3 linked regions of the Alligator mississippiensis genome follow. The protein of the gene in region 1 purifies or fractionates together with the protein of each later gene. This does not show direct contact. Links are inferred from orthologs where the notes say so. Each region holds a gene or a part of one and is shown in the gene's direction. Other genes may lie near its edges. The genes, in order: SRSF3, NCBP3 and LARP1.

The links.
Region 2: the proteins of SRSF3 (region 1) and NCBP3 purify together in Homo sapiens (co-immunoprecipitation; 3 studies listed by BioGRID and IntAct, with this or other methods). This does not show direct contact. The link is inferred for Alligator mississippiensis from reciprocal best matches to the Homo sapiens genes SRSF3 and NCBP3.
Region 3: the proteins of SRSF3 (region 1) and LARP1 purify together in Homo sapiens (co-immunoprecipitation; 3 studies listed by BioGRID and IntAct, with this or other methods). This does not show direct contact. The link is inferred for Alligator mississippiensis from reciprocal best matches to the Homo sapiens genes SRSF3 and LARP1.

Annotation. Positions count from the first base shown.
Region 1 is NC_081837.1:35,606,033-35,615,663, forward strand, and holds the start of SRSF3 (serine/arginine-rich splicing factor 3), read left to right. Parts: upstream 1-5,316; 5' UTR 5,317-5,418; intron 5,419-6,481; 5' UTR 6,482-6,483; coding exon 6,484-6,689; intron 6,690-7,491; coding exon 7,492-7,626; intron 7,627-9,631. UniProt on the Homo sapiens protein: Splicing factor, which binds the consensus motif 5'-C[ACU][AU]C[ACU][AC]C-3' within pre-mRNA and promotes specific exons inclusion during alternative splicing.
Region 2 is NC_081837.1:9,609,802-9,619,289, forward strand, and holds the start of NCBP3 (nuclear cap-binding protein subunit 3), read left to right. Parts: upstream 1-5,541; 5' UTR 5,542-5,568; coding exon 5,569-5,715; intron 5,716-6,922; coding exon 6,923-6,988; intron 6,989-8,797; coding exon 8,798-8,903; intron 8,904-9,488. UniProt on the Homo sapiens protein: Associates with NCBP1/CBP80 to form an alternative cap-binding complex (CBC) which plays a key role in mRNA export. NCBP3 serves as adapter protein linking the capped RNAs (m7GpppG-capped RNA) to NCBP1/CBP80.
Region 3 is NC_081832.1:76,974,647-76,984,340, forward strand, and holds the start of LARP1 (la-related protein 1), read left to right. Parts: upstream 1-6,186; 5' UTR 6,187-6,387; coding exon 6,388-6,658; intron 6,659-9,694. UniProt on the Homo sapiens protein: RNA-binding protein that regulates the translation of specific target mRNA species downstream of the mTORC1 complex, in function of growth signals and nutrient availability.

The DNA of each region.
Region 1 (9,631 bases):
AAGCCTAGTCAAGATAGGTTAGTGAAAGGGTCAATATCAGACTTGGGCAAATAGGAAAGAAACCATAGAGTCCTTTAACATCAAGCATTATCTGCTTCAGTATGTTAAAGGTTGTGAGATGCTCAGATACCATGGTGATGAGCACTGCATGAGTACCTAAGACAGCAAGTCTAGCCCTTGGTCCTGCAATGAGAAACATGGACTTCAGATACGAGTCACATATTTCTAGAACAGCATCAATTCTTATCAATATTAAACTAGCACTTGTTAAACTTTTGCTTTCTCTTCATCAAATTCATTAAACACATAGGGCCTAGACCCACCGGTTAGGTGCACTCAGGTACACCCCTATGTAGAGCTAATATTCTATCTACTAGACCATGCTTCCTATCTTACAAATCCTGAAGCCTGCCTGTGTCTTGCTACTTAAGGCAAATTCATCACAGTTCTTCCAACTTCCATTTTCTGCTTCTTCCACTCTCTTTTCTCCTCCCTGATCTGTCAGAGTCTGGACTTGACCTTGATGGAAATAAATATCAAGCCTCACAAGTTTTATCAGAAGGAGGGAGAGGAGATGGGTTAATAGGAGAAAGGATTCCTTAAAATGTTATTTCAGGGAGGATACAATTTCTCTTGGCATCTGGGGGAAATTTCTCTTGGCATGTCTGTGGAAGGAATCCCATTGGGTTCATGGGGGTTTTGTACATATTTTTGAAGACTGATGACGAAATGATTTTAACTTCTGCACTTGAACCTACAGTGAGTGCATATAGAAAAAAGAAGAGCAAGAGAGACAGAAAACACCCGCCCTGTCGGGAGGAAACTGTTTGACCACACATGGGTGGTAAAATAGAGTCCATTTCCCTTTGTTGATTGTGAAGCAACTGCTAATGCTTTGCTTTGCTGCTTTCCATTCCCCCACTTTCCCCTCCCCATCCTGACTGAGAGATCAGAGGTACCTCACAGTAAGCCCTAAGGCTATAAAGAATCTCACACCACCACACCCAACCGCATAACCCAAGTACTAAATTTTTTGTATGAGGATACCACAATTTGGGCTGTGAGTTACTTATATCACCCCACACACATCTCAGACAAGGTTCTTTGGGTAGACGTGAGCTCTTTTATTAGACCAAGTAAATAGTTTGAAAAATTGCTCTTTGCAAGCTTTCAGGCACAAGCACCCTTCTTCCAGCATAGGGAGAGACTGGTAGTGTTTTGTGTGCTCTCCTGGGTAGAAGGTTTGTGCCTGAAAGCTTGCAAAGAGCAATTTTTTTAACTATTTACTTGGTTTAATAAAAGAGATCACGTCTACCCAAAGAACCTTGTCTACCTATGTCCTTAGAGCAACACACCTACAACCAGCAGCCCCATATACATCTCATACACAGAGACAGTACGGGCACTGTTTTGATAACAATTAAACTAAGATTATTTTAGCAGTGGGTGTAAAAGGCAATGGCCAGATTTGTTGCTGTACCATGTTTTTTGATTTTTTTACAGTTACTCTGTGATATCTCTTTCCTACCTGGGCTAGCAAGGGGATAGTTGTATGGTCCAGAAAAGCAATAAGGAAATAATCTCATACAATTATTATGATGGGGAGGACACTAAAATAATGTCTGGGTCCTGTGAATAATTAAATCCTGGGGCCTGAAAACCTAACTCCAAATCCTATTGTAATGTCCCAAAAAGAACCCTTCCCTTCTTCTTTTCCTTAACAGACTAATTTCCCTTGGTCTAAAATTGAAGTAGAGAAGTGGTAAATCAGGCTAAAGGAATATTATAATCTTCCTTTTGACACCAGATTATCAGAGATGCTGAGCACTTGCGACTCCAGTATAATAAGATTTCTAGATGCTCAGTACTTCTGAAAATTAGGGACCAAGTAAACAATCCCAAGCTGCAGATGGTATTACTTTGTATGAGTGTGACTCCCTGAATCCCAGGCCTATGACTGGGCCACTAAATCTCACCCCGCACCAGATCATAGAATCATAGAAAATAAGGGTTGGGAGGGATCTCAGGAGGTCACATCTAGTCCAAGCCCCTGCTCAAAGCAGGACCAGCCCCAACTAGATCATCCCAGACAAGGCTTTGTCTAGCCAGGTTTTAAAAACCTCCAAGGATGGAGATTCCACCTCCTCTCTGGGTAACTGGTTCCAGGGCTTTGCTACCCTCCTAGTGAGAAAGTTTTTCCTAATATCCAACCTAAACTTCTCTTGCTGCAACTTGAGACCATTGCTCCTTGTTCTGTCATCTGCCACCACTGAGAACAGACTGGTGTCATCCTCTTTGCAATCATCAACCATCAGGTAGTCCAATCCCCTATTAAATCCCCTCTCAATCTTCTCTTCTCCGGACTAAATAAATTCAGTTCCCTCAGCCTCTCCTCGTAAGTCATGTGCACCAGCCCATTAATCATTTTCTTTGCCCTCCACTGGACTCTCCAAATTGTCCACACCCTTTCTGTAGTGGGGGGCCCAAAACTGGACACAGTACTCCAGATGTGGCCTCCCCAGTGCCCAATAGAGAGGAATAATCACTTCCCTTGATCTGTAGCTATGCTCCTACTAATGCAGCCCAGGATGCCATTAGCCTTCTTAGCAACAAGGGCACACTGTTGGCTTATATTCAGCTTATTGATCCAGAATAGCTGCCCTGTATCTGGGTCCAAGAAAGCAGTTTTCCTTAAGCCCCTGGGAGATAACTGTTCTTCTGGCATGGTTTAGTACCCACCAAGGCGTTGGGGCTTAATGCCCATTTTATGGAAATGGGAGGTTCCTCCCTAGCGTGCTCCTGCGGCCATATGGCTGAGGGCAAGCAAAACCTGGGGGCATCCGAACCCCAAGCTTCTGGGTTTAGCCCTGCACGTAGGATGCCTGCCAAAGACATTGGAAATATCTGAAGCCCCTAGTGGGGGTGCAGGATGTTTGCCGATTGTGGGGCCACTTATAGTTCTGGACTGACTCATGAATTTGGACTTGATTTGGCTGAATTGGCTTGGAACATGGAAATCCAGAATAGCTGCCTGTGAGCATTCAAAAGAGTGCAGTATACAATAAATTAGACAGAAATATCTAATTAGTGTAGACCATGAGGCTTCTACCTGGATCAAGTGGTATTTCCCCCTCCTTTGAGAAACCTTTAGAACAGGGGTTTTCAATCTTTTTAAACTCGTGGCAACCCTCCACCTTTTTTTTAAAAAATAAAAATAATACAGCAATTCTTCTGTTGCAAAGAACTCAGAAAGACCAAAACAGGTCAGAATGTTTTTGAACTATGCATTCCTATTTGTAATTTTTAGGGTTTATTTAATGAATCGTGTGTAGGTGTTTGCATACCTAACAGTGTTAATATTGGGTGGCACCCTGTGGCACCCTTAAAAGGATTTCACAGCACCCCAGATGAGAATCAGTGCTTTAGAACATGAGGTGATTCTGATCATCACCTGACCTGTATAATCAGTCTTTATTACAGATTGGGCTCTCATTAGCTCATAAAAACTAAGTAGGATCTACGTTTGGATGGGAGATTTCCTATACACCCTGGGTCATCGGGTCCCAAACTCTGACAGATTACGCACCGTCAATTTAAAACAATACAACCTCAAGTACCACCAGCAAATTTTTCAGTTCAACCTTAAGTAAATTTTTGTCATGTAAAGTAATTATAATAAATCTGTTAACAAGTACCACTGACAGGTTGTCTGTGTACCACTGGTGGTACCCATAACACAGATTGGGAACCGCTGCCCTAGGTAGTTGAGCTGTGTAAGGATCGGGACTATGTCACTGAGGCTTGGGACCACGTCACTGCTGCTTCTATTCACATTGCCGAGCACAGTGTCATTTTTCTGTGGCACATTTTCTTGGGCTAAAGCGGGGGCAGGCAGTTATATCAGGTGGCGGGCCGCTTACTGAGTTTTGGCAAGCCATTGAGGGCCACATGGCAGGCAGCCAGGGGCAGATAAATATTCATTTTCTAAATTTTTAGGGGCCCCGCAAGCCGGATAGAATGGCCCGCGGGCTGCATTTTGCCCACCCCGGCCTAAAGGATCTGCATACATCACTGCACCTCTCCCTGTCTCAGTTGCCCCAGTAGTAAAGCAAAGGAAATAATACAGCCTACCAAAGGTCATTGACAAACCCCCAATTTGAGGGTGATCTCTATTACGGTTCACTGGTGGGTCTTAAGAGGACTTAAGAGTCCAGTCCTTGCATCACAGAGCCATCCACAGATGTTGCAGGTCTTTCCACAGGGCAGAGTAGGCCGTAGGCTAGGATTTCTCTTCTTTTTCTCCCTCACTCTCTCTTTTCTGCTTTGAGGGCAAGATGTTTTACAATCTCTACCCTACCAAAGGATTTGAGATTCAATTAGTTCCCTCCTCTTGTGATTTTCCCTCAGTATTTGTGGTGTTCTGTAAGCTTCTGAAGGCCCAGGGTTATATCAATCAGCACCTCCAATTTAACTTAAAATGTACATTTCTAAATCTTAGGTGGGGGGTAGAAGGGGGAAAAAGCTGAACACCGTGGTTCAGAGATAAAGGTGGAGCCATGTTGGTCTAAAGTCAGTGGTCTCTTTTTATGAGACCAACTAAATGGTTGCAAAAAAAAATAGGCTTTATTTGCAAGCTTTCAAGATTGTAACGTTGCTTGCAGGTAGAAATGAAACTTCATCTTGCGCAGGAGCGGCGGAGGGTGGTCCAGGCGACCCCCGGCGTAGCGCTGCTCTTAATCGTTTCTGGAGAAACCCAGCGTTGAGCGAGACCGACCCGAGACGGCGACCGCGAACGTTTTCGACGACCCGACACAGCAACTCTCGTGGGTTATAAGGACGCCCGCCAAGCGGAATCGGATGCCGGTTTAGACCGAGCGTCGTAGCCAAACAGCCGCATACGTTTTTCCGGGTGGAAAAGTTCATTTCAGGCCAAATCAGGCTCCACGACAAGTTGGAGCAGCCCCTCCAAAACATCAAAACTCGCTCCCGATTGACTGGGCTGTTTTAGTTGCCCTGTTTGCTTGGGTCAAGGAGGCCTGTGCCCAGTTTCTGGATGCAGTGACGCTGTCCCTCGTGGCAGCACTGCGGCAGCTCCTGCTCCTGCTCCTGCCCCGCGAGGTGCCCGCCCCGCCACGCGCGCGGTGCAGGGGCAGGAGGATGGTGCAGGCCCGGGTGGGGGGAAGGGCCCGGCTGGGCGGGTTCCACGGAGCCGTCCGTCACTCGAAGCGCGCGCCGTGATTGGAGCGCCGCGGCGTCACGTGGGGCGGGGCCGAAGCGATATAAGTGCGGGCGGGGCAGGCGGCGGCCGCCATTTTGTCCAGGGAGGACGAGGGGAGTGCGGGCCCGCGCGGGATCGAGGCGGCGGCGAAGAAGTAGCAGCGCGCGCGCGATCCCCTCTCGCGCTCTCCCCCGGAATCGGTGAGGCCCTCCTCGGGGCTCCCGCCCAGGCGGGGCGGACGCAGGCGCCGGGCCCGGCGGCAGACAAAGGCCCGCCGCCATTTTGTGCGGGCGGCGGGGCCCGGCCGGGCCGTGGGAAAAAGAGCGCGGAGGGCGGGTGTTTCGCGGCGGCGCAGCCCGGCTGGAGGCCGTCTCGGCCTGCGGGCCTGGCGGGCGCTGCTCCCGCCGAGGATGGCGCCGTCCTGCCCCTCCCCCCTCGGCGCGCGGGAACAATGGAGGCGTCCGCGCATGCGCACGAGTGGAGCCTATGCCCCCTACTGGCGCCGCCCTTGCACTCCAGCGTGGGCGTGTGCGCATGCGCAGCGCTGGCTGGGGTGGGCAGCTTGAGCTCCCTTCCTGGGAAGGACTGGAGCCCCTCCCCCTCTCTGCTAAGCCCCTTCCCTTACTCCTGTGTGAATTCCTGGGAGAAGGTGGGCATCTGGCTTTCCTGCTCACTGCGCTTCCCAGTGAAGACAATGGAGCATTTCCAGATGGGACCTAGCAGGCATTTATGCGCTGACTACTTTACTGCCCTCCTCCCCCATGCACCAGAGATTCATCACTTCAGAGGATGCTCGATTAATCGAGTCTGCTGTACACGGCAAACAGCGGCATGTGCGAAATGGACGTCAGTGCACAGAAAGCAGCAGGGATGCACTTTTGAACTAAGGCTCCTCCAATGTGTTTCAGTTCAAAAGTGCCGCTGCCGTTTTCTCAGCGCTGACATGCATTTTTCCACTTGTATGACTGCGGGCGTCACACCACTGAGTGCTTTTCACAGCTCCGAGCACTGGTGCTTGCGTGTGTAAAAATGCTTTGTGTTTTCAAGGCTGCGAGTGGGATGAGGTAGGAGCCCACTTAACAGGCCTGTAGGTAGAGTAGGACCCGCTCACAGTTTTCTCATGAATTGCAAGCTAGGGGAGCCTCATCCTTTTGCCTAAGATCATGTCGTGTTGTCCTTCCTGCCCACAAGCGTGTAACGGTTGCACTTTTATAGCTGCAAGGAGAAAGAAACGATATCTGACCTGAAATGTTTTTGTTGTAGTGATGCATCGAGACTCGTGTCCGCTGGACTGCAAGGTTTATGTTGGTAACCTTGGCAACAATGGCAACAAAACTGAATTGGAGCGAGCTTTTGGCTACTATGGGCCACTGCGGAGCGTGTGGGTGGCTAGAAACCCTCCCGGCTTCGCTTTTGTGGAATTTGAAGATCCACGAGATGCAGCTGATGCAGTAAGAGAGCTAGATGGAAGGTAAAAATATCTTAACGCAGGTCACTTAAAACTAAAAATCTGAGTTTGTGTTCAACATCCTGTATTGGTAAAAGCAACCAGACAATTAGGGATGCAGAAATCTTGTAATTAAACAGCTTTATAACATAAGAGCTTAACTTTGATGGTGCATATTTTAATTGATCCTGTTCTATAGGTAGCTTCTTGCAGTTTGCACATCTGACATGAAACTGATACCTAACTGCTAATTTGAGTAAAGGGAACTTTCAGTTTGGGGAAAATAAGCTTTGGATACTTTAAAACACTAAGTTGTGTTTCTGTGATCCTTGCAACAGGGATCTAATCTTAAAATGTCTTTAAGAACAGCTCATTACATAGTGTGTGCTACAGAGCTAGTATGCAGCTGAATCTTGAAGTATTAAAAAGTCTGTAAAACAGTATTTTATTTCTCTTAACTGTTAACAGCACAGTTTTGGAAATATTCCTAAATGGCAGTACCTTGATTTCAGCTAGCTCAGACTTGATGTGCATAGAGTATACCCAGCTTTCAAGTGAAGGTAGGGGGAGATGGCACCTTTAAAGACTGATTTGTTCAGGAGCATAATCTTGTAAGTTGTTGCCTATAGAAGCACAGATCCCTCAGAACAAGTTAGTCAATAAGGTGCCACTCTACCTTCTAACTTCAGACTGCTACAGCTGTCTGACTTTCAAATATTCATCATGTAAATAAGACATTCAGATGAGTTTGTAATCTTATTCGCTTTTTTTGTGTGTAGACAAACTTGTTCCTATAAGCTTTTATAAGTACTGATGTTTATTTCAGAACGCTGTGTGGGTGCCGCGTCAGGGTGGAGCTGTCCAATGGTGAAAAACGGAGTCGGAACCGTGGTCCGCCTCCTTCATGGGGTAGGCGCCCTCGAGATGATTATCGCAGAAGAAGTCCTCCTCCTCGCCGCAGGTACACTGGGTCAGAGTACATACATAGAGAGTTGTTGGCATTGTTACCACTTAGCATCATAGAAGCAGGCTTTTTTTTAAAGCATGTTGATGGGAAACATACATCTGCTCTTAATTTGGAGATTCCAAACACTCTAAAAAGAGGTGAATACAAGTTGTGTTGAATGTTGGCTTTTGTCCTTAGGTCACTGTGCAAGTTGATAGTCAGCGCCCTCTCTCCTGGATTTATCCTCTTTCGTCCTAAGATCTATTCATCTTCTAGTCACACTTTCCCTTTCTTGCCCTTACTTCAACTTAGGCTATGTCCTTTCCTTTACTCCATAATGGCAAACATTACATACAGCAACCTAGGCTTTTCCAGGCTAATGTATTCTCCATTTTGTTTTGCACAATTTAAATACTTGCCAAGTAGGCAACTTTATTCATAAAGTAAGCCTACTTTAAATGTACAACAATCATTTTAAATATAACTTAAATTTCTAACTGAAGCGTTAGAACATAAATGTGGCGAATCTGTCACTTGTTTTGTGAACCCAGTTCTAAAGTAGGGCACATTCTTGGATCCAGGCTAGCTTGTCTGGATGTTAACTGTGCACTTCCATCAAACCTACAGCATGGTTTTTACAGGACTGAATTACCTATTGCAGGTGAGTGAAGTCCTCACAAGGCAAGGTTTCAAGCTTATCCCTTTTGCTGTTCTTTTTTTTTAAAAAAAAAAAATAACACAATAGGAGTATTTGTTAGCTAATAGATGGTTGTACTGATGGCTTGTTTTTCATTTTTTTTATGCTTTTTGGTCCATCTATTAATAAAAATGAACCCGTTACAGAGTCACCATCATGTCTCTTCTCACCACCCTCTGAGTCTGCATTAGCCAGTCAACTAGCCCTTTCAGCGTCATGTGACCAGCGCGCCCCATTCAGCTTGGCTGGTGTCGTTTCACATGACCCAGGCATGGCCAGTCGTCAGGTTGCACCGCCCTTTGGTTCCCGAGCATGCTGTTTTCTCTCAGCCTTCTCTCCAACCTTAACCAAATCGGCAGCAGCCACCTCGACCGCCCACACATTCCCGGCCAATCAGCTCAGCTGTTTATTTACCAAATGTCTTCACAACAACTACAGCAGCAGCCTTCGGCTAACAAAAAAGCAGGAAAAATCCACAACACCCCCTTCGCCAACCAACTAAATACAACGCAACATCTGGCAAAACCTTTTCAGCAAATTCTTCTTGGCAGTCAGTCCGGCAGCCTCACCTCACCATTTCTAGCTTGTTGAAACCAAAAACTAGTAAGTTTTTCCTGCTTATACAGTTTACTGCTGGTTAAAATAAGGAGTAAGCGGCTTATAAGTAATTACTTTTCTCAATCAAAGGCTGGCTGTGCATAATTGAGTGGTAACGTACATATGTTGCTTGAAAAACTTTTAAGGGTGATAAGGAAACTTTACATCTTAAAATAGAGCAAAAAGTAAAAAGGCAGTGTATATGCATGTGATGTGCGAAACTAAATTCTTAATGAAGCTCTAACAAACTTAGCTTTTTCCTGCAGAAAATCCTATCACCTTTAAATGGTTTTACTAACAGTTTTCAAAACTTAAAACAATTACTTTTTTGGGATGAACTGGGCCGAGCTAAGGTTATTTTTTTAAGTCTAAACACACTGGCATTTTAAAAATGACAATCACAAATATGCAGTTCTAATGTAGCACTTTAATGGCATTATCAATATTTACACAGAGCGCATTTTCACTTTTTCCACTTGGTATCTCTTGTGTCTTGTCATGGACCCTTTTGGCTTGCATGGGTTCCAAAACATTGGTTTATGTTACTTTTGGAACCACTTGTGGGACTTTGGTGTGGTGTTCTGGGCAGTGATTTAGTTGATATGGAAATGTTGCATTGGACAAGTCTGCTATGAAGCATTAGTTAAAGTGAATTTCTGGTTGGAAACGTGCTGTTCACACTGAGCTTTGTTTTATTGCCTTAATCTTTCCATGCGTTTTACTGGA
Region 2 (9,488 bases), about 26 Mb from region 1:
ATTTTTCAGTGTGAGGACGCTGATACATGTGACGCTTCAGGCACTTGTAATTAGTACAGCTCTTGGGAGCTGCGCTAATTGAAGTGCCTCTCTGCTGCATGTGTATAAACGCCCCAGCAAGGGCTATCAACCTCAGCTTCTGCCATAGGTTTTGGAGCCTGGGCTGAGCCCTGGGCTGCCACAGTTATACTGCTCCCAATCCCTGACCTAGTTCATTTGAAGTTAGCTTGAGTGTCATTACATTACATAAGCTGCAATGTTGCCAGTGACTCCAGTGTGGACATATTGGTGGGTAACTAAGAGTGGGACCCCGCATAAATCGGGGCTGTGCCTTTCTATAAGCATGCGCCTGTGTGTGTGTGTGTGTGTGTGTGTGTGTGTGAGGATGGCAGCTGTAAGCACGACTGGTTACAGTAAGCACCCTGCTTTTCAAATTAAAAATCACACGTTCCTCCAAGTAGAAGGAGTTTCATTTTCCTTGCAGTGACCGCTGTGGAGATTGAGGCTTCAAAGTATGCCTGAACTCCCCTGTCGCCAGGTCCCAGAGACCTGAGGCAAGTTCCATCCTCGCTGCAGAGGAGCTGATCTGCTTTGAAGCCTGGAGGAGTTTGGCTGGTGACTTCAAGGGAAGCAGATCAGAGGCCAAGAACTTTGCAGGGAATCACACCCAGCAGCAGATTTCACAAGGTGCTGTGCACCCAGCCCATGCAGCACCAGGACCAGCCCCAGAGTAAAGCCTGTCCCCAACCTGGGGAGAGTCAAGCCTAGAGGCCATGATTTAAAACTGTTGACATGGCCTTGATCCCAGGCAAGGTCCAGAAGCACAGTGTGGAAGCCAAGTTGCTGTATGGGGCCTCCTCTCCTGGTTGTATGAAGTGTGGGGTGTTTGCTTTTGCTTTTCACTGGTTCTCAGCATTGCCTCTCCCATGTCCAAGACTAAAGAAGAGGCAGTGGTGAACAGGCCTCTCCCTCTCCAATTCATTTCACTAACTGACATCTCTTCAGTGACCAGGGCATAAAATTAAAGCATTTATAACTAATATGGACAGGGCAGCCCCACAAACCCTTGGGAAGTGTCCCATAGAGCTGAATAGACAGTTCTCAGCTTTCTCGAATTTAAGGAAGACTCCTAGCCCTTCCTTAAAATTCTGTGGCATGGGTCAAAAACCGTGTTGAGCCCTATGATATTTCCTGAGGTTTCCAGAAGCATTTCTAGATACCTGTGTTACATTTCTAAAGGATTCTGTTCTAGCTCTGATAAATTCTATGAGGAGTTTCCATAAGGGAATGCATATATAAAAAATGTGCTGCCTTTGCATACCAGCGGTCAACAAATCTTCCTAGACACAGACGCCCCTGAATGTGACAGACAGCTGCAGTAGTGAGTAGCCAGTCTAATCTAATTTCTCCCTCAGCTCTCTCTTTCTGTCTCCATCTCTCGAACTTGGAAAGTTAAGTTTGCGTGGACAGGCTGACATGCAAATTCTTGCCATGTCACAGGTAAATCTAACTTTTTTTCCCAGCTGTTCAGCTGGTCTAATAAAAGATATCACATCTACCCAAAGGACCTTGCCTGCCTATGTCCTTAGACCAACATGGCTACAACCAAAAATCCATCTACCTCTTGTAGGCACTTCTGCTGCCCTATTGCTGAATCTTTAATATACTCGCCATCACAACGTCCATGGAAGGTAGGGGAGTGCTCTTATCCCCATTTCACAGTGGAAAATGAGACGTGGAGAGGTCAAGGGCATTTGGATATTACTCCAATGCCATACCCAGGAGCACTGCTGTGACCCACGCCACATGTCCTCACTCCCATGCCGCAGCACCGACTCCCAAGAGGAAACAGAGCCACCCATGAGCTTGCACTGCTGAGGCTCACTGTCTCAGGTGTACCGAGTAGCGTGGGTATGAGTAGTCTGTCACAGAGCGGGGCCTTCTCTTGTGGCCTAAGTCCCTACCCACTAGACCATCCTTCCTCCTGAGAGCCGGCCATTCTTTCAGTTTTGAGAGAGGTTGCCTTACTTTGGGTGGGACGAGTACAGCCCAGGTAGCAGCTGATCCATATCTGCTCCCAAACCCTTCAGCCCACTTCATTTTGGTTTGTCCTCCCAGTGCAGAAACGCCTGTCTGAGCGGCAGCCGCGCTCATTCTTGGTGCAATTCACTGCATTTGAAGGGCAGCCATGCCAGGGTCCTGCACTGAGTCATCAGGACCAGGCAGGACGACAAAGCAGCCTTGCAGTGACTAACACGTCCCTGTTCTGGTCACGGAGTCACGGGAGCTTTATGTTCTGTGCCACAAGAGCCAAACTGTTCACCTCTGAAACTCAATTCAGATCATTACCAAAAGACTCCTTCCATCAAGTGCATTCAAACTCCTTTTGTTACCCCATGGCTCCCTTTGCCCCCTGCTTTTAGCTTAATCCAGACACTATACCTGAGGCTTTGGGCATTTAGATTACACTTTACTTTTCATTCTGTAGCAAAGACATTTTATTGCAAGAGCTCCCTCTGGTGAAAAACTATAGCACCAGCACTTCCTCACATGAGCACACAGAAAAGCAGGGAGACAAGTCAAAGCCTCTTAGGACAAGTTTTGGGTTTGCAGCAGTTGTTGTTTTTATTAGTTTCCCCTTTAACAAAACCCTTAAAGGTAACAAACACAGAGATGGGAGAATTTTTTTTCAATTTAGTCCTCGTTAAAATGTTCAGAGTCTGGGAATGCAAAACTCTTGGTTCAGAAAGGATAAGTTTTATTAGATCAACTCGGTTGTCTCACACCAATACGGCTACCAAATACATCCCAGATTCTGGGAAGCCACTCAGTGCCATTTAGCAAGGTTTCATGCACTAACAATTCACTTAAACACGCCCCAGCAAATGAACACACACGTGACATACTAGTAAGTATCTGGCAGTTGTTGGAGAGAGGTGTGACTTAGCCTACTCCTGGTAAAGGTGCCCTAAATCCAAACCAAACCCCGGCTGCAAAACCCTGGTGAATTTGGAACAGTTTAGACCCGGGCTGGTAGGAGGTTTGCAAAAGATCCCAAGGTTTCGGCACGGTTCAGAAACATGTGGCTTATTTCTATTCACTCTGCAGGCTGGAGCAGCATGCCGTCACGCCGCTGCCTTGTAACCAGCTCAGGGAATGCAGCAGCTTTCCATTATGTAAATAGGGGTCCTTTCATTTAAAGCAAAAGCCAAAGAACAACTGAATCAAAACTCAAAACAGCAGTGATTCAGAGCTCAGCAGCGACTCTCATCCAACAAGTACACAACAGAAGTGAGCGTAACAATTCCCCGGAGGGAGATAACGGACCATGTACAGAGCAGGAATACAGTCAGAAAAGGGAGAGACAGGCCCCTGGTATAAAGAACCCCTGCCACTTTTCAGGCCAGAAGATCATGGAGCTGATGAGCTCCATGAGAAACTTCTTCCTGCTCTCCTGTGGTCAAATAAACTATCTTGCTACCAGCGGCTCTGGACTTCATATTTTTAACTGTTCTTTCTCAGGAGTCTTTACACAAAAACAAATTGCAGCCTCCCTTTCCAAAGGCCTACAGTCACTTATTCAGTACTGATACCACATACGCAGAATCTGCCTGGAGTCCACACGCAAGCACGAACGCCGTGTTTGCAAACCCGATGCACACAGGATAAATTGTAAAGACTCCACGCATGCCAGTCGGCCGACACGGTGGGTCTCTCTCACGGAAAGCATGAAAACGCACAACACGAGCAAGAGCAAGGGCTTCCGAAGAAACAAATCTCCAGGGCGTCAGAAGAAACAGAAATGTTACGCGCGTGAAAGTTCACGGAGGAGGAGGGAAAATAAGATCTCAGCTTTCCTACCCTTCTGGTCTTGAGGCCATGAGCAAAACACGATTCGATCTCGGCGGCAGCTGCACGACCGAACCATTGAATCAGCAGCACGTAGCGCTGAGCTCCCCAGCACGGTTGCGAGTGCAAGGTTGAGCTCCCCAGCACGGTCGTGAGTGAGAGGCTGAGCTTCCCAGCATGGTCATGAGTGCGAGGTCAAGCTCCCCAGCACAGTCGTGAGTGCGAGGTCGAGCTCCCCAGCACAGTTGCAAGTGCGAGGTTGAGCTTCCCAGCACGGTCATGAGTGTGAGGTCGAGCTCCCCAGCATGGTCGTGAGTATGAGGTCAATCTCCCCAGCACGGTTGCAAGTGTGAGGTTGAGCTTCCCAGCACGGTCGTGAGTGCAAGGTCGAGCTCCCCAGCATGGTCGTGAGTGCGAGGTCGAGCTCCCCAGTACAGTTGCAAGTGCGAGGTTGAGCTCCCCAGCATGGTTGTGAGTGCAAGGTCGAACTCCCTGGCATGGTTGTGTGTGCGAGATCGAGCTCCCCGGCACGGTTGTGAACGCAAGGTCGAGCTCCCCAGCATGGTTGCGAGTGAGAGGTTGAGCTCCCCAGCACGGTTGTGAGTGCAAGGTCGAACTCCCTGGCATGGTCGTGAGTTTGAGATTGAGCTCCCCGGCACGGTCGTGAGTGCGAGGTTGAGCCCCCCAGCATGGTCGCGAGTGCGAAGTTGAGCTCCCCAGCACGGCTGCGAGTGCGAGGTCGAACTCCCTGGCATGGTCGTGTGTGAGAGATCGAGCTCCCCGGCACGGTCATGAGTGCGAGGTTGAGCCCCCCAGCACGGTCGCGAGTGCGAAGTTGAGCTCCCCAGCACGGTTGCGAGTGCGAGGTCGAACTCCCTGGCATGGTTGTGTGTGCGAGATCGAGCTCCCCGGAACGGTCATGAGTGCGAGGTTGAGCCCCCCAGCATGGTCGCGAGTGCGAGGTTGAGCTCCCCAGCATGGTCGCGAGTGCGAGGTCGAGCTCCCCGGCACGGTCGTGAGTGCAAGGCACAAACTGGGGGGGCCTCGAGCGTGTTCAAGCACCTGCGTCTCCTACGCGGGAGCTCAGCAGGTTTGGGTCTGGACGGGGGCCCGATCGAACGCCCGTCGAAGTCAAGGAGAGTCGTTTTATCGATTTCACGTGGCTTCGGTTCAGTTCCCGAAGTTTTAGCGCAGGTTGGGGAAAGTCCAGCTATGCAGCAAGACACATCGCACGCAACCGCACGGGGGGGGGAAGGGATGAGCACATTCGGAGATTTATCGTCGTTCGAGAATCGGGACTCGGCTTCGAAACGGCAGGTGCTTCGGTTCAACCGCTCCGGCCTTCGGTGCCGGCGAGGAATGGGCAGCACCAAGAAACGAGGCGTTGGCGCCCCACACTAGAGCGCAGCCTGGACTCGCTGCCCTGAGTCGTGTCAGTGCGAGGGGGCAGACACGGGCCCGAGCGGCGGGAACGAGGCGCCGCCTGCACTCCGCCGCAGGGAGCACCACAGGCGGGAGGACCTACAGAGGCGCTCTATCCCCCGACCTCTATGACGCTGGGGACGCTCTGTCCCCACAGCGCGCGCCTCTATGCTCGTGGCGGGGCGGGGGGACGCTCTGTCCGCCAATCCCGTCTCGGCGTGCCTGGAGGCCGGCGGCGACGACGCTCTAGCCGGCGCGCCTCGCTGGCCGTGAGCGGAGGGCGGGCCTGGCGGGGCGATGGCGGCCGTGCGGGGCCTGCGGATCTCGGTGAAGGCGGCGGAGGCGGAGGCGGAGGCGCGCGGCGCGGAGCCCGAGCCCATGGAGGTGGAGGAGGGGGAGCTGGAGGCCATCCCCGTGCGGCGCTCGCTGCGGGAGCTGCTCCCGGTACGGGCCGCGGGGGGGGCGGGGGGCTCCGGCCTGCGCTGCGCTCCCCTCCCGGGGCACCGCGGACTCGTCCGCGCCTCGAGACCGGGGGGCGGGGTCGCCGGTGCTCGGGGGGAGGCACTGCGTCACTGACCCCCTTCCCCTGCCCAATCAGCTGCTCTGCGCTCTGCTCCCTGCCCTGGGCTTCCCGCCCAATCAGCTGCTCTGCTCTCTGCCCGATCCGCTGCTCTGCTGTCTGCTTCCTGTCCTGGGCTTCCTGCCCAATCAGCTGCTCTGCTCCCTGCCCTGGGTTCTCTGCCCGATCCGCTGCTCTGCACTCTGCTTCCTGCCCTACCTGTTGATCTGCACTCTGCTCCCTGCCCTGGGCTTGCTGCCTGATCTGTGGCTCTGCGCTCTGCTCCCTGCCCTGCCTGTCACTGGCTTCCCTGCTCCCTCCCTGGTCGGCCCTTGTCCCTCGTGGCCCGCATGCCCTAGGGCTTGCCACCCCTGGGTTAGCGCAGCGCTTTGTGAATGCTGCTTTACTAACCGATAGGAATGAAAGTCCTTTTTATTTTTCCCCTCCAGGTCACCGTGTCATTTATGGGTTTCTTTGGTCATAATAGGCTTGTTCAGAAGAGAAGCGGGGCGGTGACTGACGCTGAGGTTTTGGGGAACATGGTTCAAGCAGCGGTGGCAAGAGAATGAATGCTAGTTTTAGTGCAAAAGTTGACTTTGTGATGACTTTTTTTCCCCTTTGATAACTAAGTACTGAAAACGTATCCTTTTTAATGTAATCGGATTACATGAAGCCCGTTTGAGCGGTTGGAATTGGGTGGAAACCGTACTTGAGATGCCGCGGAAAAAAATCATGGAAATTAGAGACGGAAAAGATGTTTCATAATCACTTCCACTTCCTTGCTGTAGCAGAGTGAATTCCACCCTTGTGAATGCAGATATTTTAAAAGTAAATATCTAAGATGCTAAAATAGAGTGAATCTTTGCAAAAAAGTGTAATGATTTTTGATCCGTTCTGTTTGCTTGTAACTCCATTGACCCTGGTGAGAATTGTGCCTGTGTGGGTTGATGCCGCACTAGCTTGGAGTCAGGAGAATAAAAAGGGATGTGTTTTTTCTTTCAGAGCTGACTACTAGGTCAGATCTTATTAGTTTAGCAAGCTTGCTGCGTTTAGCCGTCATCCAGCATTTGTTGTAATTTTGCTTTATTGTAGGACACTAGCAGAAGATACGAAAACAAAGCTGGAAGTTTCATTACAGGAATAGACGTCACCTCCAAGGTAATATTGTCAAGTGTGATCCCTTTTTAAAATTTTGTATTACTTAATTGAATAGGAAGCATTTTCCTATGCTTCCTAAGGTGGTGGCTTTCAGGGGCCCGTAGTCCCTTTTTAACAGCCAGAGATAAGACAATAAGATTCTAGAGCTTTTTCACATGCTGTAATGACTCTTTTATACTCCAGCATTTGTAATTTACAGAATCTAGAAAGTAGACAAGCTTTTTGTGGAAACCCTGAGTCAGGCATCTTTTTTTTATGGTTGTATAGTGAAAGATTTAGCTGTGGGCAAAGCTTTTGTACTCCACCAAGAATGTCTAATACTGTTTCTAAAAGCTCTCTGCATTTGCCAAAAAACAAGGAGACTCTTATTGGAATTGCGGTGGTGCCACTCCACATCGCAATGCCCTTTGAATCAAGTCAGCTGAATTTTTCTTATTGTGCAAGTGACAAGGGAAAGCAAATGTTTGGCAGGAATACTGGGCTCCATTGGCTGGCGCTGTCTAAGGGCATTATTTTGTGGACCATTTACAGCTTAAACTTGCAGCTGGTCTCCTGGCTATGTGACATAATTTTAAAGCACTGGCACTTCCATATGATGCATCATTTCACCTTTTATCTGTGTAGTGCTCCAGTACCATTTAAGCCTTTATATCTTCAGAGCACTGCAAAATTTGAACCCCTGCAACAGCAGTGCTGATGCGTGAGTTATAGTCTCGTGTTGCAGTGGGAAAACCCAGAAGTTCGTGTTTAGGATTGAAAAACTTTTCTAGTTCCTAGTCACTACCTTCTTTGCGTTGGATGCTTGCAGTTCATTTAGACATTTAATGTTAAATTATCAAGGAAAAAAATCTTCCTACTTTGTTATATTCCTTAATGATATGCAACATTAATAACTGTGGGGAAAGAGAGGTGATTCTGTATAATGAGAAAAGTTTGACTTTTTAATCAGTTTTCAGAGATTTTCAAGGCAAATCTATCCTGAAATTATATCAATCAGGGCAATTCTTGCTTAAGCATTTGCTAACGTACTGAGTTGTATTTTAGTTCATGCCATTGAAAGCTGCTTAAAATGTCCTGTTAATATCCTATTAATTTGAATCGGTCCCAAGAAAGAAAACTAATGTTTCTCTTAAGAGATTGTATAAGATCTTTTGTATCCCTGCTGCTTAGATACTATGCTAATGAGCTCCCCAGAAATAGCTTGGATTACCAGCCAGAACAAGATTTCTATTGTTGGCTCTCCAGTTAGTATTGGAGAAGTGCTAACATAAAAAATATTCCCAAAAGCCATATGTTGCCAATTTTTTTTCAATTGCCTGAGAGCTCTGTGTGATCTGTATCATCTCACTTGTTTCTGTTTTTCCATGAAAGCAAACCAGTAATCTTAAAATAGAAGTTTAGCGTAGCCAGATGGAAGAAACCTTTGCTTTAAGAGAGGGCTTCATGAACTTTGGCTTTGTGTACCTATTTTGCTGATAGATAAACATGGTTATCATAGAGCTTAAAAACTTGCAGAGTTGCAGAGTGAGTGGCAGACAAAGCATCATGATTCTTATTATATTGCTCGACCCACAAGAAAATAAATCACTTTGTGCACCCATAATTGAACCACAGTTGTTCTTTAAATTCTTTTGTTTCTGCATCTGTTTTGTGTTGTATTTTGAGTCAAGAAGGCCTGTTGATAACTAATAAAATCTTCAAGTATCACTTCCTTGATTTGTGTTATAAGCATCTCATCTTGCTGTTGAACTTGTTTAGAACAATGCACACATTTCCTTTCTGACTGCGTATTTCTCTTGTATTTTTCAGGAAGCAATTGAGAAAAAAGAGCAAAGAGCAAAGCGTTTTCATTTTCGAGCTGAGGTGAATCTTGCCCAAAGGAATGTGGCATTGGACCGAGACATGATGAAGAAAGGTACAGAAAGTGCCATGACTTTAGCAAAGAGTTGAAAAGTGGACTCTCTAGTTTTAATAGCTATACTACCTCACTCCATAAGAGATGCTGCACAAAGAAGGGCTTTGCTAAGAACAGTAACTTGTATTTTACACTTCTTTAGTTTTCATATAGTTTTAATTTGAAATAATTTTTTAAATGATCATAAAGTGATGGAATAGACGATTTTTGGAAGAAATGGAATTACTTTGAGCAGATGCTTTAATTTACTGCTCTGGCAGGTATGCCTAGTATTGCATGTAGATTAGCTGTCCAAGGAAGTCATCAACACCCATTTATATGACAGGCTCCATAAAGGTCTGGCTCTTGGATAACTGATGAAAAAAATGCCAAACCTTAAACAAATCAGTCGTTTTCAAAACATGGGTGAAGAGTTCTTTGAACTCTGTTGAACATCATCTGTCATGGTGTTACAACTATGTTTTCCTGTTTTTATTTGAAATGTTTCTTTTCTTCGTTGCTGCGGTGAAGTACCCATGGAAGCAAAAATAAACTAAGTCCCCAGTTATGCAAGGGCATTAGTGCAAGTGGATCCAAATGTCTGCA
Region 3 (9,694 bases), on another chromosome or scaffold:
ATCCTCATCAATACAGATATAACTCCAAGACAGGAAACTGGGTTTTCCCCCTGTAAATTCCCTGCTTCCTAACCCTCTGTTATCACCCATATCAAAGTGGTGTTAGATGTAGCCCTGTCCTACCTACCCAAGGCAGATTGAATGTTAGCTCTCGCTCGTGAGAAGAGCTCTGAACTGCCGTGGTCCTTTTATGTCTCGGGGGGAGGCGAAGGGGCAAGAGGAAAAGGGGGTTTTATTTATTTTATAATGCACTTTTCTTTTGGTTTTGGCAAGGATTGCAGTTGGCCATGTGCAGGGAACAAGCGCTAAAGGTTGGAGGCAAGTTTGAACTGTACGTCAAAAGGTGTCGGTGGTTAGGACATTAGCACCTGTTAGCTCGCTGGAGGACCCTAGTGCTTCCCCTACACTAGGAGAAAAGGTGGTGGGTGGGTTTTTAATGGCATTGTCAAACACACTTCCAAGCTGCAGGCTGTAGTTAGACGCAGTTCATTTCCTTGTATAGACGCAGTTCAGTCCCTTTAAAAACAGTGAGGGGAAAGGCCTAAGTTACCGTGTCATCAGCTGATAAGAATATCGGAATTAAATTGGGCGCCAAGGGGATCTCAAGTGACGTTAGCCAGTTCATTTTCTTTTAAAGAACCCCTTTTTTAAGACCTAACATGAGTGATAGTACTTCTTAAACACCATGTAATGAAACAGTGCTAGCTGGGGCTTATTGCAAGCTCTTCCGTGAAACGGAGTGAGGGTAGGACTGTCACCTTGCACGGGCCAAAAGCAGGTAAAATTTCCTGCACTGCAGGTGGTGTAATAAAGTACTAAGACTAGCCACAGGGGCAGTGATGGTGGTCCTGATTGGCACTGGGAGGACTGCTGACACCATCCTCCTTCAGGTAGCCTACTAAGAGCAACACAAGAGCTGTATTTGTGGCAGTGGGTTGGGAGGATTTTCTTGCACTCATCCTCATACCTGTGGAGGGTGAGTGCTGCTTGAGCATCGGCGCTGATTTTGGAGGTGGTTTCAGCTCTCAGCAAGCATGTCTTCGACCTACAGGCCTTGCAGTCTTTGTTGAAGTTGACAGGGATGCTAGCCACCCTCCCTTGGGTTGCAGTGGACAAAATAATGAAGGACCTCCAATGGTGGAAGGTGGCTGGAAATCGCTGCTGCAGCGGGAGGCTGCGTAAGGGCCTGGTCATGCAGACAGGGATTTCTGTGCAAACGTGAGGGCTGGGGATATGGTTTGGCTGTAGCTGTATGTGTCAGACATAGAGGGAAATAGTCGCTAGGCAGCCAGAGGGTATCCCTAAGAGGACGCAGAGGCAGAGCTCCTTATGCCAGAGGCCTGGCTGAAAGGCAGACTGGGGGGTGCTGCAATCAAGGCAGCCGCCTGCTGTGTGTTGCTGCTGTGTTCAGGGAAACGGGCTGTTGAGGCCACGGTCTGTTAACACGCAGGATTGCGTCCAAGTAATGCCTGGCTCATGTCATCAGTGTCTCTTAACAACCGCAGCCTGGCAAGGTCCCGAATCCTGGCTGACCGCCCCCGTCACGGGGCACTGGTGTGTTAGCCGCTGCACGGGCTTTCTGGCTGCAGGATGCTGAGGACCGCCAGGCTCCAGGCGTGCCGGGCTGAGCTTGTTCACCCACCGCTTCACGTCAGGCTCCACCACTGACCCCTCCGGCTTCAATAGGTCTGGGAAGGGAAGGGAAGTCCCCAGGACAGCTGGGGCAGGGCTGGAGCTGTGTGTTGGTTGCTAGGAGCTGCTGGCGTGTTTACCCTGGCTCTGCCTGCGCCTGCTGTGAAGGCAGCTCACCTGCAGAGAGGTGGACGGAGCCCTCCCCAGGCACGCTTGCTTTTGGGGAGTGGAGGTGCTGGAGAGGAGACCAGAAGAGCCAAGAGCCTTAGTCAGTGTGCAAAGGGGGCGCCTGAGGTCTCAAACCATCCCCTTGCTGCTGCACTTCTCCAAGCTTTTCATCACAGCCCGCTCAACCCACGTTGCTTGGGGAATGTGGGTGAACGCTGCGGGAGGGGTGGAGCAGGCCGGCGTCATGGGGGTTTTGGCACGCAAGGATTTGATTTGAACTGGAGAGCGTGCGAGCCAGGTCCCTGTGTTGGAGCATCCCTAGACCGCGGGAGAGGCTCACGCTGGATCTGCAGCCAGACTTCTCTGCCTGGGCCCAGCTCTCTCATGCCGTGACCATCCCATCCGTTCTGCCTCTCACCCCACCCGGGGCATAAGGCAGAGGTCGGTTGTCACCATCCAAGCCTGTCTCTTTAATGCACTGGAGTTTGTGTCATTTGCTGCCTGTGTTGCTGTGAAGGGCCTGTCTTCCTTCAGCCTCGAGGCTGTTGGGAAGGCTGTTGCCTAGCACGCTCACAGCCTGGCCCAGGTGAGTCCCCCTTCCCTCCCCCCAGCGCTGTTTGCACAGGTGAGGGAGCTCCAGGATCTCACCAGGATCTCTGTTCTGTCTGACTGCTCCGCTCTGGACGTCCAGCACCAGGTATGTATCCACAGCAGGTCTACCACCTTCCCAAGCCTGGGATAGACACTGGAAGTCTCTCTGGCATCTGTGAGGCTACAACATACAGGGGCTTCACAATTCTCTCAGTGACTTGGGGAATAGTGAGAGGATCTGGGGAGGAGGGAGAGGGATGGGAGAGAAAGAGGCCTTAAAAGGCAGGCAAGGATGCTTCCTGGCCTCTGCAGCCTGGTTACTGGGGTCATTCCATACTTAAATTGGAGATTCACTTAGTCCTCACCACCTTTCTCTTCACCCGCAGTCTCAAATGTTGGCATCAAGGTTGCATTGGCTCGCACACTAATGGTGTCTGAGAGCGCTGTTCTTGGTTCCAGATGCACCCTTCGAGCAGGCCTGGAGAATCTCTGTTAACTTGGCAGATGTTCTCTAAAGCAAGGCAGTCCCAGACACTGGTGCTGCCCGTGTGCTAGCGGCACAGAGGTGTGGCAAAGGAGACGTGCTGCTAGCTCGCCAGGCGGCGTGGCCCTGGGCTACTGGGTGAGTCCCACGCGGTTCAGCAGTAACGATGGGACAGTGCATCTGTCCCATTTCCCGCGACAAGCACTGCAGCGTCAGGCATTCCCTTTCCCCAGCACCTCACCCTGCTTGCTCTCACAAAGCCTTGCTAAAGGTTACTTTGGAGGGGAATAAAAAAGTAGATTTAATTCTTTTGTTGGAGGCGTCGCTCTAGCACAACCACTAAGATGGGAGCAGCAGGTTGTAGCGGGGGCCACCCACCTAGGCATGATCAGAGCCCCGGGGGAAATCACTTAGACACACAAAGGTGCTCTGAAAACAGTCGCTGGACACAGGTTACCTGGTGTGCATGCAGCAAAACTCTCGTGAAACGCCCTCAGCTTGGAAGGCCCTTGCTGTAGGAAGGCCATAACGCGAAAAATCAGCCGCCGTTCAGAACTGCTGAGTAACCGACGCCCTGGAAACCACAGCCTGCAATGGAGACGACAGCGTAAAATATCGAGGTGCTGTCAGGCCATTAATCTCCCGTCCTCTGCGCATCCCCTGCATGAGGAAGAGACTGAAATAAAATGCTAGTCTGAGCATGCATTGTGTACTCTTCCGCGTGGGTGTTACTGACTCGGAGAAGTTAAATGAGAAAACCTGTTAGGCCGTTAAGTCCGTCCTCTCGCCATTGCAGGCTCGGCTGTGCGTTCCTGCACGCAGCAGCATGCACGGAGTGTGGCGCGGGTTGGAGCATGGCAGTCACACGGATGTCTGTGCACGCGTCCATGGGCCGGAGAGCAAGGGACTTAAGTGCTGCGGGAAACTCCTTGCTTGCCCCTGGGTTTTGATATTCAGATCCTATGTCATTTGTGCCTACACCTGCCCAGTAAGTCCTACAGGAGACTGAAGGTGGTGGCGAGAATCACAGCAAAGTCTGTTTCTTTTATCTTGCTGGGAATTAGCTCCTGAGATATTTTGATCTTCCCCAGTCCCTGGAGATGGCCATGGCGGCATGGCACCCAGGTAGAGCATGCAGGTGACTGACTGCTTCATGTCAAGCTCAGGGGGTGGCATATATGTGACGCAGGTTTTACAGGTGCTGTCAGTGGGCTGGTATGGGGGGGAAGGCGCACGGCCCCATCGGAAAGGGGCAGCAAGTGCTCCTCACTGCTATACTCTGACTGATGTGCTGGCCTGGCTGGTTTTGAGCTGGGCAGTCAGGTTTGCACATGCGAGCCAGCTTGAAGATGGTGTTCGGATGAAGGTGTCACCTGTCTGGTTCTCAGAGAGGACTTTGACAGGGCCTGCTCTTTCCCAGTAGGGCAGCGGTTCCCAAACTCTGGGTCGCGCCCCCAAATGGGGTCACATCAGCGGATGACCCCAGCACTCTTTCCTGCCCAGGGTAGAGGGTCGGACTTGATGATCTGCTCAGGTCCCTTCCGACCCTACCAACTATGAAACTATGGGGTCACGGGGTTGGGGGTGAAGGGCCATGCTGAGGAAATGGGGCCGTAAATGGGGTCATGCTGCAGACAAGGTTGGGAAGCACTGCCATCGGGGGTGCCTTGGGGGGTGCACACGCTGCCCTGAACTGGGGTCACGGTTTGTAGGAAGAGTGCAAGGAAGTTGCATGCTGCCACCACTGCCCGTCTCTCCCTTCCATCAGGCCCAAGTCCTGCAACGTCCTCGTGTCCCGTTTGTTTTGGGACCTTGCTCCCAAAACCACCGTCCTGGCCCGTTCTGTGCTCAGGTGGGAGACTGCGATGGACTCATGTGTGGAGTGGGAGCATATTACCTGCAACTCTTTGGACGGCCTGTGCTGCTAAGGTCTGGTGGAAGGATGCTCTCAGTGCCGGGTCCTTGGTGGGTCAATCGAAACACCCTCCATGGACCTGTTAGACCTGCTGCCCTTCTGGATTAGGCCCAGCACTCATCCTTCAGGGCCAAGGAGGTCCCATTGGTTTCTTCTTTCCCGTGCTTGTTCCATGCTTTTTCCCTCAGTTCCTCTATCTTGTTAACAGCTAAGTTATAAAATCCCACCCTTCCGTCTCTTCTCCGCACGCCGCCACCACCCCGGAGCTAGTGCATTATTGCAGCTTGTCGCGTTTCCCGTGTTCCTGGGAGCCTTTTGACTCGCTGCACAGATGCAGCCCCCACGGGACGTTAAATTTCAGTTCTTCTTGACAAAAGCTAATGCCGTCTAGGGGTAGAGGATTGCCGTGTACATCTAGAAGGTGTGATAGTGCAAGAGCCTTTTCGTGGATATAGGACGCCTTCCAGAATCGGAGTTATTTCTAAAGTATCAATGTCACAGCACAGCACGCAGTCATGTTTTGGGGCTTTTCATCATTTACTCTTTTGCTGTTTTAGGTCGTTTTTGCCTTCTCGTTGAACTGCATTCGGGAGTATGGAAACGGTGTGAATTTGGCAGGGGCTCGGTGACCGTCGACAGGTGCCAGACAGTCAAATTATCCAGCCCGGTTGGAAATGCCTGTCCAGGTACGTCAGACGCTGGTGGTGAGCCGATGCTGGTTGTAAGCCCTGGTTGTAGCCGTGACGGTCCAGAAATGGCGCGAGAGGCAAGGATTTCTTTGGGCCATCTCTGGACGGGGCCCTCCGCGTCACCGGGATAACGTTGGACGACGCAGGACGCTCGTCCTCGGGTCTCGCCACCCGGGACAGGCCTCTTAATGCCTGCCTTGCGTTGTGATGTTATCCCAAGGACGCAACTGTCCCGAGCAAAGCGGCTCCTTGCCTCTGTGCAGCAATACAGGCAGAGCGGGGGGCGAGATGAAAGCCCGCAGGACTTTCTGCCCTCATTTCCCTTTCCCCCCAGCTCCAGCCGTGTTGGGTTTTTCAATGGAAATCTCAGCGCTGGGGTCAGGGCAGCGCTTGCCACTAGGTGAAGGGTATTTGTGCCCGAAAGCTTGCAATGAAAGGGGTTTTTTTTATTATTTTTTGCAAAAAAGCTTGTTGGTGCCATGCAAGAAATCAGCTGTAGCACTGAGCCCCGATGAGCAGGTGCACAGGGCTCCTCTCCCCCGCGGCCAGGGGGTGCCCCGCGGAGGGGCCGGGCCCCGGGGCAGCCGCCAGGGGGCGCTAGCTGCTGGCAGGGGCAGGCGCGGCCGGCTCTAGGGCCCGGGCCCGGCCGCCGCCGCCTCCTGGCCGGGCCCGGCCCAGTCCCTCCCCTGTCCCCGCCCCGCCGCGGGTTGCATCAGGCACGTGCGCGCTCCCGCCCGCCCGTCGGTCCGTCCGTCCTTCCCGCACCCGGCGCGCGGCCCCGGGCCGGGGGGTGGGGAGCGGAGCGCGCTCCCGCGGCAGTCGCGTGGTCCCCGCGCGGCTCCATCTTGCAGCCGAGCCGGAGCCGGAGCGGGATCGGGGCCGGGGGCAGCCGCAGCCGGAGCCCCTCAATGGCCGCGGAGGTGGAGGCGCTGCTGCTGCCCGGCGGCGCCTTGCTGCTCCCGCCGCCCCCGGAGGAGCCGCAGCCGGAGCGGGAGAGAGAGCGGGGCGGGCCGGCCGACACGGAGCCCCCCCCCGCCGCCGCCGCCGCAGCAGCAGCCGCCCCGCCGGGCGAGGAGCCGGCCGCCGCCACCCGCCGCGACTTCATCGAGGCGCCGCCGCCCAAGGTGAACCCCTGGACCAAGCACGCCCCGGCCGTCGTCAACGGGCAGTCCCCGCCAGGTGGGTGCCGGGCCCCGGGGGGGGGGGGGGAGGGAGGAGGCTTCCCGGGTGTGTCCCGCGGGCCCCGGGGAAGGGGACACTCGACGTGTCATGCGGGCACGGCGCGGCCTGGGTGAGCCACGAGGGCGGAGCGCGGCCGGGCCATGCGGGAGCCGCCTCCCGGCCGGGGCTTCCGCCGCGCGGGTCGCAGCGTTCCGCCCGGGGCCCGAGCGTTCCGCCCGTGTCCCAACGTTCCGCCCGTGTCCCAACGTTCCATCCGGGCCCGAGCGTTCCGGCCCGGTCCCAGCGTTCCATCCGACCCCCGAGCGTTCCGGCCCGGTCCCAGCGTTCCATCCGACCCCCGAGCGTTCCGGCCCGGTCCCAGCGTTCCAGCCCCGGGGCCCCGACGTCCCAGGCCGCAGGCTGGATCGGGGCCCGGCGCTGGCTCGCCCCGCGTGTGCGCCGCGGCCTCCCTTCCCCTCCTCCCTTCCCAGAATGCCGCCGCCGCGAAGGCAACGTGGTTTCTTCCCTCATGCGATTGCACCGTGGGGCCTGCTCCCGGTGCGGATCGGGGGTGTACCCCCCCCCAACAAAGCCGAGCCGGGGGGGAGGGGGTGGGAGGGGAGAGCCGCGCCCCAAAGGGGTGGGAGTGGGGGAGGGGAGGGTCTGCTCTTCCTTGCCCATCCCCCACGCCCTGCCCTGCCCTGGCTCGCCCCCAGGGGAAGGGGGGATTCCCTCCCCGCCTGCCGCGGCCCCACACGTGTGTCTGGCCCTGCTCCCCCCTCCACGTGGGCCACGCTGCAGCAGGGCCCTGCATTCCTGCCTCCTTGGCGGCGCTGGCATGCAGGCCGCAAGCCTGTCCCTTCCGTGCCCTTGCCAGCGCTGGGGGCCGGCGGCAGCCCTGGCTGGGGGGTAGGGGGGTGGGCAGGCAGGGGAGGTTGGTTTGGGGGGTCCAGCACTCCCTTGTGCCTTCTTCCTCTGGGAATCCCTGTCGGCTCTGTAATCCCACGTGTTGCAATGGCGCCTCTGCAGCGTTACTTCACCCTTCCTTTAAGAACCGGGAGGGGGGTTGAAGGGGTGTGAGAGCAGGGGTTTGCCGGCATGCCCCCCCCAATCATCCATCTTTCACCCACCGCTGCTTGTAGGCCAGGGCTGGAAATGCTGAACCCTCCATTTTCTTGCTTGCTTTCATAGAGATCACTTCCCTCGGGGAACTGTTTGATAAAATGAAGGGAATCGATAACTAAGAAAATAAATCCTGGGGAGTTTTATATCGTGGCCTCCTTGGCGAGGGGGCTTGTTGCCTCTTTCGCCTTCCCTTGCACGCTTGAAATGGCCTTCCCGGCTATGACAGCAGCAGTGAGCGTGCTAGCCTTTTTTTTTCTTTTTTTTTTTTTTTCCCTTTCCCAAAAAGTTAGTACTACCTAATATGATGAATCATCATAGTTATTGATCCGTGGAAGATGGACAGCTCTGCAGTATCTGGGTGCAAGGGTGTTTGGTTTGCATGGGATAATATACAGAAGATAAATTAACGTTGCCCAAAAAATATATATCCATGCGGAGACTGTGGCGCGCCCGGATCCCAGGCGATGATAGGGAAATGACTTGTCTCGACAAAATCCAAGCGAGATTTTTTTTTTTTTTTTTTGCCGTCTTGGGTTTACGTCTTGGTGGATGATGGGAAGCGGGCTTTATCACGCCTTCATGCAGCGATGAGGCTTCATCATGCTGCTTTCTTGGGCCCTCTCCATTCCCTAGAGAGGAGCCAAAGACTGCCAGCGTTTTTAAAGTGCTGTATAAACATTCTGGATCCCGGCTGCTGAAGCAGGTTGGTCGTGTCGTCTTCTCTCTTCGGTGTATTCCCGGTGTTGTTTTCTATGGGCAGCCTTCGTGAACTGCAGTATTTGTCTTAAACCTTTTTTAAAAATACAGGGCAGCATCCTTCCGGTACAAATGGGATGGACTGATTTCCAAGGTCTGCTCTGACTATCTGTCTTTTCTTGTGCCTTCATGTTTCAGGCTGTCAGGAGCACCCAGCAAGGAATATTCTGGTTACAAAGTGGGGGAAACCCTTCAGAGGAACAAAACAGTAGACTTTGGGAAGGATCCAGTCTGTGTTAAGTATTAGATGGCACACCAGGCTTTTTTTGTCTTTTTTAAATGAAGAAGACGGTGTTTGTCGGAAGGAATCCATTGCGCTCTGTCGAAGAGTCGCAGTATTATTCTCCAAGGTGTTTAAATAGTGCAGTTGAGTTGCGGTGCCTTTTTCTGGAGCTTGGCAGAGGTGGCCGTAGTTCTCACAATGCCGGCCTTGTCAATATTAGCCTGCTCCTTTGCTCTGGGGCATTGTTTCTTCTGCTGCCTCTTAACCAAGAGGAGAGAGAAAACTGTTTGTAAAATAAACACGGTTGTCACAAGCTCCTCGGATAGGCAGACTCACAGCTGAGACCTGCCTGGGCTTCCTGCTGGGCTTTGGAGGCTTCTCCTATTGAGAGAGAACTTCTCAAACTACTTTTGGTTGAGGATTGCTTAAAGCAGAAGCTTGTGGATTTGGGGAGACGGGCTTCTGGGCTAAGCAAACGTCTAGGCGTGTGTTGCGTGGGCTCCAGCAGGGTCTTTGAATTTTTTCCACCTGCTCGAAATGGGGCAAGTCGCAGCAAAAGCTTTTTAATATTTTTTTTCAGAATACCCCAAGTAGGCCAGGAGCCGTTCCTGGAACTGGGCTTTGCACTGGAAGTGCAGAGCGCTGCCAGGCCCTGACCCTGTCAGACCCCAGACCTGCAGTGGGCCTGAGCCCGTAAGTGGTCATTTTAATTGATGCACAAAGTGTAAAGCAGTAGGTAGGCCCTTGGGTAGTGACTGGGGCTCTAATGATCTGTCTCCAGAGTAGCCCTCATGAAGTGACAGACTAATGGCATGGAGCAGATGTGCAGACTTCTGGACACACTGCTCCCTGACTGGTACCTGACTGCTGAATTGTGGCACCGTGGCCATTTCTGGGCCAAGAGCTTGCCTGGGTGGAAATAGTTAATGGTCTCATGTCATGCTATGGCT